Linked DNA regions of Saccharomyces cerevisiae S288C. Changing the gene in region 1 together with any one later gene gives a genetic interaction. Each region holds a gene or a part of one and is shown on either strand. Other genes may lie near its edges.

Region 1 (4,066 bases):
AAGTATATACTGTGAAAAAACAACCGTTGGAGAGCTACGACCGACTGAAAAGATAAAAATGCTTGAGTTTTTCAGGTTAGCATGCCGTCTAGTAGAATTAAACCATTGTAGTTCTTCACTTTTGTATTAAACGTAGGATTGAGGCGGTGGCTGCTTTTGGTTTACTATGCGTTGTAAGGGGATGGGGAAATGGAACGTCCAGAAGAAAGTTATAGTTCCCGTTTGCATAACAGCAGAGACAAAAATGGTCGAGCACTTCCGTGTTGACTGTATATCTGTGCATGGTTGACTAATTGTTGTTTGATGGCCTGAAGTTCTTGTCACACTCTGCAAATTATCCCGACATTCAGACGTACACGTACAAAACACGAATGCTACTCTAGCATATCCAATCGATCGCACTGAAGCGATCAGCTGATGATCAGGCGGTACATTGCATACTCTGCGTAAGGCCTTTTTCACCAATTGACCGCATCGTATATTTCCCAATCCGGTTATTAAATCGTTATCAGGCGGAAACCTTCGCGAACAGTATACTGGAGAGTGTTGCGACAAGATATTTAAAAGCGGAAAACGGGCATATAAAATAGATGAGTGCAGACTAATGAAAAAGACCCCAGACCCATCTCCACCTTTTGCAAGCACGAAGAACGTAGGCATGTCAAACGAAGAACCGGAAAAAATGGTTAACGATCGAATTGTGGTGAAGGCCATCGAGCCAAAAGATGAGGAAGCCTGGAACAAACTGTGGAAGGAGTATCAGGGTTTCCAAAAAACGGTTATGCCTCCGGAAGTAGCCACCACTACCTTCGCAAGGTTTATAGACCCTACGGTCAAACTATGGGGTGCTCTAGCCTTTGACACCGAGACCGGCGATGCAATTGGCTTTGCACACTACCTGAACCATTTGACGTCGTGGCATGTCGAAGAAGTTGTCTACATGAATGACTTATATGTCACTGAACGCGCAAGAGTCAAAGGCGTAGGTAGAAAGCTCATAGAATTTGTATACAGCCGTGCCGATGAGCTCGGTACGCCTGCAGTGTACTGGGTTACAGACCATTACAATCACCGCGCACAGTTGCTGTACACCAAAGTGGCTTACAAGACAGATAAGGTTCTTTACAAGAGAAACGGATACTGAAACCGCTGTGTAATGTAGACTACTGTGTATAGAGATAACTCTAGCTTCTATAGGCTCACTTGCGAAGCTTTTTTCCCACTTTTTCCCAGTGAAATAGTTTCTTATTGGCTTTTCATAGTTTGTTCTCCGATTTAATCGCAAGCGCCGTACGGCGCAGGCACAGAATGACTTGCAGCTTAATCCAGGTGCATTTTAAGAAACTTATCTGCTGGGAAGACCCCGAAGTTCATCGTTTACAATGTGCCGTAAAGAACACATTTGAGGGTGCAATCTGGTTCGTCTTTTGCCATAATTAGTAGTGCTCATCCGTGATCCTTTAATTTACTTTTGTGATGCGATGATTTGCAGATACTATATAAGCAATGGACACCGTCCATCACCGATGAGGCTAGAACATCGTAGTGCTTTGTAAAAGAACTGTTAAAGACCCAGTACGAAAATTTTTCCATAATGGACCCTGGTATTGCTAATCATACCCTCCCCGAGGAATTTGAAGAGGTTGTCGTTCCCGAGATGCTGGAAAAGGAAGTAGGAGCCAAGGTCGATGTCAAGCCAACGCTAACCACATCTTCTCCAGCACCTTCTTACATTGAATTGATAGATCCAGGTGTGCATAACATCGAGATTTACGCAGAAATGTACAACCGCCCGATCTACCGTGTCGCATTATTCTTCTCACTTTTCCTCATTGCCTATGCTTACGGATTAGATGGTAATATCCGTTACACTTTCCAGGCGTACGCGACTTCGTCGTACTCCCAGCACTCGCTGCTATCGACCGTCAACTGTATTAAGACGGTTATTGCGGCTGTAGGCCAGATCTTCTTTGCCAGATTATCAGATATCTTCGGCAGATTTTCCATTATGATTGTCAGTATCATTTTTTATAGCATGGGGACCATCATTGAGTCGCAAGCGGTGAATATTACAAGATTTGCAGTTGGTGGTTGTTTTTACCAATTGGGTCTTACCGGTATTATTCTAATTTTGGAAGTTATTGCTTCTGACTTTTCCAACTTGAACTGGAGGTTGTTAGCCTTATTCATTCCAGCTTTACCATTTATCATCAACACCTGGATTAGCGGGAACGTAACAAGTGCCATAGATGCTAATTGGAAATGGGGTATTGGTATGTGGGCTTTTATACTGCCGCTAGCTTGTATTCCGCTTGGAATTTGTATGTTGCACATGAGGTATTTAGCAAGAAAGCATGCTAAAGATAGATTGAAGCCCGAGTTCGAAGCGCTAAACAAATTGAAGTGGAAGTCCTTTTGTATAGACATCGCATTTTGGAAATTGGATATCATTGGAATGTTATTAATTACTGTATTTTTCGGGTGTGTATTGGTTCCATTCACCTTAGCGGGTGGTTTGAAAGAGGAATGGAAAACTGCGCATATTATTGTCCCTGAAGTCATTGGTTGGGTTGTAGTGTTACCACTGTACATGCTATGGGAAATAAAGTACTCGAGACATCCATTGACACCTTGGGACTTGATTCAAGATAGAGGTATCTTTTTCGCTCTACTCATCGCATTCTTTATCAATTTTAACTGGTATATGCAAGGTGATTACATGTATACTGTACTAGTCGTTGCAGTTCATGAATCCATAAAGTCCGCTACAAGAATTACCTCCTTGTATTCATTTGTTTCTGTTATCGTTGGTACAATCCTCGGGTTCATACTGATTAAAGTTAGAAGGACTAAGCCTTTTATTATATTTGGCATTTCTTGTTGGATCGTCTCATTTGGTTTGCTGGTCCATTACCGTGGTGACTCCGGTGCTCATTCCGGTATCATTGGCTCTTTGTGTCTATTAGGTTTCGGTGCAGGTTCATTTACCTATGTGACTCAAGCTTCCATCCAAGCATCCGCTAAAACTCATGCAAGAATGGCGGTAGTAACCTCATTATACCTTGCCACTTATAATATTGGTTCTGCATTTGGTAGTTCTGTTAGCGGAGCTGTCTGGACTAATATCCTACCCAAAGAAATTTCAAAAAGAATTTCCGATCCAACCTTAGCTGCACAAGCGTACGGTTCTCCATTTACATTCATTACAACTTATACCTGGGGAACACCAGAAAGAATAGCTTTAGTCATGTCTTACCGCTATGTTCAAAAGATTTTATGTATCATAGGTTTGGTATTCTGCTTTCCTTTGTTAGGTTGCGCATTCATGTTGAGAAATCATAAACTAACAGATTCTATTGCTCTTGAAGGCAATGATCATTTGGAAAGTAAAAACACCTTTGAAATTGAGGAAAAGGAAGAAAGTTTTTTGAAAAATAAATTCTTTACGCACTTTACAAGCAGTAAAGATAGGAAAGATTAATATTATCTCACCCAAATAATTTCATACATGCACATATAGCTACTACATAGTCAAGAACATATCATAACATTTGGTATAACAGTCTTTATATCAGTCTTTGCATGGCTTTGCATCTGATGCTGGCTCTACCGACTTCTCGGCGATAAAATACCAAAAGAATTTGACGTATATACTATCCAAAGTGGATAAATATTTGAGTTCCAATGAGGTAACTAAACTAGTTTTTTAAAACCCAGCAGAAAGAAAAAATACCCTATATTTGGCAGTGCTGTCCATCAGAACCATTAACTGCATCAATAATAGTTTGGGTGCTGCTGATTATCATAATCATGAAACCAAAGCATATACAAAGATAGAAAGGAAGCCTTTCCTTCCAACTCTTCTTCTTACTAGTTAACAACAAATTTGTGTATGGCGGCAAAATGTAAGCCATAGTCGATGCCGTAGTGGCCCCAATCAGTTCAAATAATGCTCCTAAATTACATGTAGTTAATGATATACCCATGGTGATGAAGACTAGTGAAGAAGTTATAACGACGTGCTGTTTACCTGATAATTGAGTGTGTTCGTCATAATTTTTAATAA
Region 2 (3,617 bases), on another chromosome or scaffold:
GTTGTCGGTCCAAGAGGTACTTTGACCAAGAACTTGAAGCATATTGATGTTACCTTCACCAAGGTCAACAACCAATTGATCAAGGTTGCTGTTCACAACGGTGACAGAAAGCACGTTGCCGCTTTGAGAACCGTTAAATCTTTGGTTGACAACATGATCACTGGTGTCACCAAGGGTTACAAGTACAAGATGAGATACGTCTACGCGCATTTCCCAATCAACGTCAACATTGTTGAAAAGGATGGTGCTAAATTCATTGAAGTCAGAAACTTTTTGGGTGACAAGAAGATCAGAAACGTCCCAGTTAGAGATGGTGTTACTATCGAATTCTCTACTAACGTAAAGGACGAAATCGTCTTATCTGGTAACTCTGTTGAAGACGTTTCCCAAAATGCCGCTGACTTGCAACAAATCTGTCGTGTTAGAAACAAGGATATCCGTAAGTTTTTGGATGGTATCTACGTTTCCCACAAGGGTTTCATTGTCGAAGACATGTAAATGGAACAAAAAAGTGTCTTTGCGCTTAGAGGCGCTTAAATATGTACATTATTCCTACTTTTTTATTTAGTATTATGTAAAGACTGAGGTTCTTTGTCATTGGATGTGCCTCACTTCCAATGATGAATTGACAGGCTCTCTAGGGAATGCTGTCAAGGGGAAACGTTGCTAGTGCTCATTGAAATAAAGAGCCACTTTACGTTTTCTCAAATTGCTTTTGTTTTTTCTTCTATTGATGCTAATTGCATATTTTTTGGTAAAGGAAAGAAACACTAAAAAATAAATATTCTCTAATACGTTACAAATGATTTTCTTTTTTCTTGAGTCTTGCAATCATACCCGTAGCTTTCTCTTGTTCTTCGGCTATTGCTTTAAATCAAAATGATATCTGGGTGTACCAGCAAGTTTCGAAATGAAAACATAAAAATATGGTTACCCGACATATATGCTGGTTTAATACTGGTTAAACTGAACAGAAGCATCTCTTTTCTCTATTAGGACGTAAACGACAACGTTTTTTTTTATAGGAAAAGTAAACAAAGCGCAGTGGAAGGCAGCGAAAGGAACCTGCACAGCGCGAAGTTTATAAACAATGACTTTTCCAGATCTCGGATTTTTTTCTCGCACGTTCCCTTCAGCATGAATCTTATTTAAACACTTACTTTCGAGAAAAATAACAGTAGTTTCCCCAAAAAAAATAGTACTATCACACGTATTTTAAATATAATCGCCGTATTATTCACTATATTCAATTTCAACTTTATAGCAAGAAAAGGAAAGATCGATTCGTTCTTTTACCATTATCCAACTACTCTACACTCCTTTTTCGCCGAAGAAAAGAACTCTTCCAACTAATTTTCACTCCTTTAAGCATTTTTTTTTTTTACTTTTTTACAAGTCGTATGTTTAATTTAATGATAAGACCTTTCATGTTACTATATTTTGAGTTTGCAAATTATTCCACTGATTACGAAATTGCTGTGCTTTTTTCGCTTCGGTGCATCGTCATTTTTCGAGAATAAAGCAAATTTTTACATGCCCGTTATTTTTCCGTGCACAACTTCTTTTTGGCTTTTTTGGCCGTCGGATTTACGGCGCGAAAATAAGTTTCTGACTTCTCGAGATATAGCCATTGTAGAAACTAAAACAATATTGATTGATTCAATTAGCACTAATCTTAGAAAATTTGCAATCCTACTCTTTTCGCAATGATTTTATTTACTAACCCATCCCAAATTTATTTTAGTAATTTGATAAAATGAAACTGTCCGCCACCACTCTTACCGCGGCTTCATTGATCGGTTATAGCACAATCGTTTCCGCTTTGCCGTATGCGGCTGATATTGACACAGGATGTACTACTACTGCTCATGGTTCACACCAGCATAAGAGGGCCGTTGCAGTTACATACGTTTACGAAACAGTCACTGTCGATAAAAATGGTCAGACCGTCACTCCAACCTCAACTGAAGCCTCTTCTACAGTTGCTTCCACTACTACTCTGATTTCCGAATCTTCGGTCACCAAGTCTTCTTCCAAAGTTGCTTCTTCTTCTGAGAGTACTGAACAAATCGCTACCACCTCGTCTTCGGCTCAAACAACTCTGACATCTTCAGAAACTTCTACTAGCGAATCCTCTGTGCCTATTTCCACATCTGGGTCAGCTTCCACATCTTCAGCAGCTTCCAGTGCAACTGGAAGTATCTACGGTGATTTGGCTGACTTTTCAGGTCCATATGAAAAATTTGAAGACGGTACCATTCCTTGCGGCCAATTTCCATCTGGTCAAGGTGTTATCCCCATCAGCTGGTTAGATGAAGGTGGCTGGTCTGGTGTTGAAAATACTGACACTTCTACGGGTGGCTCTTGTAAAGAAGGGTCTTACTGCTCATACGCTTGCCAACCAGGTATGTCCAAGACACAATGGCCTTCTGACCAACCATCTGACGGCAGATCCATTGGTGGTTTGCTATGTAAGGACGGCTACCTGTACCGTTCAAATACAGATACTGACTATTTATGCGAATGGGGCGTTGATGCCGCTTACGTCGTCTCTGAATTGAGCAACGATGTTGCTATCTGCAGGACCGATTACCCGGGTACCGAAAACATGGTGATTCCTACATATGTGCAAGCAGGTGACTCTTTACCCTTGACTGTCGTTGATCAGGACACCTACTACACTTGGCAAGGATTGAAGACATCCGCGCAATACTACGTTAACAATGCCGGTATTTCTGTCGAAGATGCTTGTGTTTGGGGTTCTTCAAGTTCAGGCGTCGGTAATTGGGCTCCATTGAACTTTGGCGCTGGTTCTTCTGATGGTGTCGCCTACCTTTCTTTGATTCCCAACCCAAACAACGGTAACGCATTGAATTTCAATGTCAAAATTGTCGCCGCTGATGACTCTTCTACAGTCAACGGTGAATGTATCTATGAAAACGGTAGCTTCAGCGGTGGCTCTGACGGTTGTACCGTTTCCGTTACTGCTGGCAAAGCTAAGTTTGTTCTATACAACTAAACTTAGGCGCATCAACAGTTGAGTAAGTTGATTGTATTATTACCCCATTCTTTTCTGCCCGTCCATTTTATTGTCTGTTTAACATACACTAAAACCCACGCCGGATTAATATCAATTTTTTTTTACTTTGTTTCTATTTATCATTCTTCCAGACATAAATTATTTTGTAATATTAAAGACATTTGAAAACCTACATACATCGCACACCTCTTCTTTCATTGTCCTAAAAACCACCCAAAAAAAAAAAAAAGACATCAAATCTCTTTTTTTTTTTTTTGTAGTTCTGTTGCCGTATGCTATCTACTCCTAAGGCTTTTTTCTACTACGGCAATCTATTCACAATGTGCAATTAGGCTAAATGCTAAAAAAAGAAAAAAAAATCCGGAGCCCCTCGATGACTCCTGTTTCCGTTTTATACTGTCCAGCGCAGACCGCACTTCCTACGTATACTTCTTACGGGGAAGGGAGCATACACGAAAACAAAAGGACCCGTAATGACTCGGAAACTCCATAGATCGGTAAATACCGGCTCGTTACCCGTCCTCCATCGGAAAATCTCTCACCGATTTGTTCCGGTATCGGATAATTTATGAATCAC
Region 3 (3,733 bases), on another chromosome or scaffold:
ATGCAGCAGATGACTCCGTAAAAGAAAGCCCTGCCTTTCAAAATAGAATGTTAGTGTACAAGATATCGCCTAATACAACAGATAATGCAATTAAGGAGTGCCCGATTTGTTTTGAGAATATGGAACCCGGTGAGAAAGTTGGGAGACTAGAATGCTTGTGTGTTTTCCATTATAAGTGTATTAAGAACTGGTTTCACAAAAGGGCGCAAATGACTGCAGCCCAGAAGGGAAATGGACATGCTTTTGTTAAAAGGAACTTTTGTCCTTTCCATGATGCCGTATTTTAACGATAACTCCCAATTTGCTTTTCATTACAAAGTTTAATTTTTCAGCTGTTAATAATCGAAGTTTTAACTTCCCTTTTCTTTTATTTTTTTCTTTAATTGTAAAAGATTTCTATATATTTGTTTAATTATGATCTTATATATTCATTAATATTTACTTTGAGGTGTTCCCTCACCTATGAATAAACAGACACTTCCTGGTTCTTTAAGTCCATCGGAGTCATGGCTACTATATGGATAGTGATGTTACGTACGGAGGATATATATACATATCGTGCATTATTCTACTTCACTGAATAAGTCACTATCCAAATCCTCTGGTACATCACTATAATGCTCATCTTCACTCGATGAAGATCCATCATCGCTCATTGCACCATCTTTCCCTTGACCTTCACCCTGTTCTTCTGCTCTAGCTTTTCTTCTTTCCAATTTACGTTGCTTTTTAGCATCTTTAACAGCCTTTTTTTTAGCAATGTTTTCTTCTTGTTCCTTTCTTCTTTGTTCCTTCAGCCTCATTTTTGCAGCGTGTCTCTTTTCTAAGGCTTTGATTTCTTCGCTTGATTTTTGAACAAATTCATGATGTAATACTTTACCTGAACAAATACCATCTTCTATTTTGACCAGTTTTAGAGTTAATCTTGGTCCTAATTCAGTCAGTTTGATAGCCTTCTTACGTGGAGTTGGTTGCGAATTTTCTGAAGGCTTAGGTTCCTCCATTTCCACATCTTCTTCTTCAATTCCTTTTTCACGTTCTTCGTTATCTGTCATTTTAACGGGTGTTTTTTGCGACAGCGAAGTTTGAGAATGTTTTGCCTTCACGTCCTGATTATCAACCACTCTCACAATAGCGTCATCTTCAATTTCAGATTCTGATGTATAGGCGCCTAAGTCATGATCTAATATCAAAGAAGAAATATCTTCTTTTCGATGCAAATTCGGCACTGTTTTACTTAGATTATTTTTGGCTTTATAAAGCCTTTTTAGATTTCTAGAGATCTCTACTTCTCGAATGTCAATAAAATAGTGGCGCATAGAAATTTCCCCCGTTTCTCTGTCTTTATTGATCATAAATATACGTTTGATAGAATTCAACGAAGTTCTTGCAGGATTCAGAGGTGGGAAAATATTCTGGAACATGGAAACAATAACCTTCTCCACGTTTACATCCTGATCGTCTTCATCAGATCTTTTCGATGTGGAAAACCCATTTAACACTAGCAATGGAGGATTTAATACATCATCATTATTTAACGATTTAGGTCTCTTCAAAAATTTTTTGATATCTCTACCCAGTGAATAGTCCAATACTTGAAAAGTAACAGTAGGACCTTGTGGAGTTCTAGCTATCTTTAGCGAGACATTTCCTGTTTTTTCAGATTGAGTGAACATGAAAAGATGCGTAACACCTAATGGGCCACACATAACAACAAAATCCTTCAGTTTATTGGACTTGCGCTCTTTTAGTTTTACGGCCGTATGCGGTTGCATGATCTGGCGAAAATCCTTTACTAATTGGTTTAGAGAATGGTTAGCCAATGAAGTTTGTCCCACTCTGATTACCATGGATTTAGGAATATCTCGTTCCTGCTCGGGTGTGATCTGCGCATGCGTTCTCTTTTTCTGCCTTCTTTTAGCCATTAGTTCCAAAATATCTAAGGTATGTGCGGGATGGTGACCTAGCAGCTGCAATTTAGTCGAATATTAGCTAGACTAGTTTATTTTGCCTATTTAATATCATTCATACAAGCCCGTCGATGAGATGCATCTACACTAAAAAATTGCAAAATCGTCCAAGATGATAGATAATGACTGAACTAACAGTCTGGAGTATTGCAAGTGCTTAGGTCTGTTTGGCAAAATTTTTGAAAATATTACTGAACCATTAGCAAGCTGTAATAGAACTAAAGCACCATTACTGATTTATTTTGACGAATCGTTTGCTAATTTTCAGCCACATCACATGCTGAAATATTTCCCGTTTGTTTCTTGTTTGTTTCACAAGCCATTCGCGCGCGTTTTCACGTTAAATGTTTTATTTACACGCACGGCTGCATCAGTGCAGCACAGCGTTAATCGAGTCCCGCGTTTTTCTATTGTTTACATAGAGACTAAAGACCAAAAAGGAAGAATACACACAATTAAGTTTTATGTAATATGTAACATGCAGTAAATAGATGAAAAATATGAATGTAAAAAGTGGTAACAACTGGAGAGCCTTTATATTTCTAGTTCGAATTGTTGTTATATTCGTTGAAGTACTCATCGTACTTATGAGTAGCCAAAGTAATGGAGTTCAAAACTGGCTTCAAATAGGCGGTACATGTGTTTGACATAGATTCACCATCACCATTAAGGACGTCTTGAAATAGCTCATTCAGCTTTTCAATACAGTCCTTCAAATGATTATAAAGTTTTTTGACGGTACTGGCTTGCTTTTGTTCACCGCTCTGAAAATGAATATAAAAGTGCTTTAGAAATTCACAGCACGTTGTGTGTAGCATTCTACAACTTTCTAATAGGTCTATTGGTAGGGTACTTTTCACCTCTAATTCATTTGCTTGAGAAGTGTTGTCGACAAAAGAGCCGAGTGCTGAATTAACATTGTTATGCTTAGCCTGTTTGGCGTTAATCTTGATTGCAGTTATGACTCTTTTATTGATCTTGTTGCTGACTTCGTTGTTAGGAACTACTTGGTTCAAGTCTAGCTTATTAATTAAATTATCCATGACCAATGACAACTGTTGTAACATTTGTTGATTAGAAACCTTCAAATCTGCATTCTTTATCGAGTCTGCCGAGCTTTTCGCATCGTTGTCGGTTGTCTTTTCATGTGCGTTCCTTTTCAGATGTATGATTGCATAGTTTGTCTTGTAGCTTTCGTTTAAGTCATCGATTTTCAGTTCATTTCTTTCATCATTATCTTCATCTTCCTCATCGTTTGTAATATTAGATTTGTTCTGTAGATTTGTCCTTGAATACTCATTCTTCAAAGCCATAATCATTTTTTCACTCAATCTATTCATACCCTTTAAGATGTCCACGGTACCATCGCTATTACCATTAATATCCACACCTGGCTGCATAGTGAAGTCGGGCCTGTTGCCTCGTACAACTGGGTCGTCCTGTATGTTACCATCTAAATCTATAATTTTTTTCACAGGATGCAATAGCATGTCATCATCTTTTCTGTCGAACTCTTGATCCAATGTCAAGTACCTGTCAATGATTACGTCACCTCTATCATTTTGCATGATCTTTTCACCCCTTAATTTTCTGAATAACTTCGAAGAGAAGAACCTTGCCCAGAACTCTGGTTCTTTGAAATTTTTGGGCACATTATCAGTGTAAGCTTTCTTTACAATTGGATAGTTCTCAAAAATATTCAAAATTTTTTCTCTTGACAAATTAACATTGACTTTGTTTTCCGATGAAGCCACCGGCTTGAT

The links.
Region 2: mutations in SIT1 (region 1) and SUN4 together harm fitness more than expected from each alone (negative genetic interaction), as found in Saccharomyces cerevisiae (2 studies listed by BioGRID).
Region 3: mutations in SIT1 (region 1) and SSF2 together harm fitness more than expected from each alone (negative genetic interaction), as found in Saccharomyces cerevisiae (2 studies listed by BioGRID).

The regions. Positions count from the first base shown.
Region 1 is NC_001137.3:26,063-30,128, forward strand, and holds SIT1 (siderophore transporter), read left to right. Parts: upstream 1-1,594; coding exon 1,595-3,481; downstream 3,482-4,066. Other genes in the region: YEL067C (uncharacterized protein), read right to left, coding at 127-714; HPA3 (D-amino-acid N-acetyltransferase), read left to right, coding at 659-1,144; AVT2 (Avt2p), read right to left, coding at 3,735-4,066. UniProt on the Saccharomyces cerevisiae protein: Involved in the transport of siderophore ferrioxamine B and so has a role in iron homeostasis.
Region 2 is NC_001146.8:499,759-503,375, forward strand, and holds SUN4 (putative glucosidase SUN4), read left to right. Parts: upstream 1-1,756; coding exon 1,757-3,019; downstream 3,020-3,617. Other genes in the region: 60S ribosomal protein uL6 RPL9B, read left to right, coding at 1-498. UniProt on the Saccharomyces cerevisiae protein: Involved in the remodeling of the cell wall during the various phases of yeast culture development and under various environmental conditions and plays a role in septation.
Region 3 is NC_001136.10:1,085,773-1,089,505, reverse strand, and holds SSF2 (rRNA-binding ribosome biosynthesis protein), read right to left. Parts: upstream 1,926-3,733; coding exon 564-1,925; downstream 1-563. Other genes in the region: PIB1 (phosphatidylinositol-3-phosphate-binding ubiquitin-protein ligase), read left to right, coding at 1-287; TFIIH/NER complex subunit TFB1, read right to left, coding at 2,513-3,733. UniProt on the Saccharomyces cerevisiae protein: Required for biogenesis of the 60S ribosomal subunit.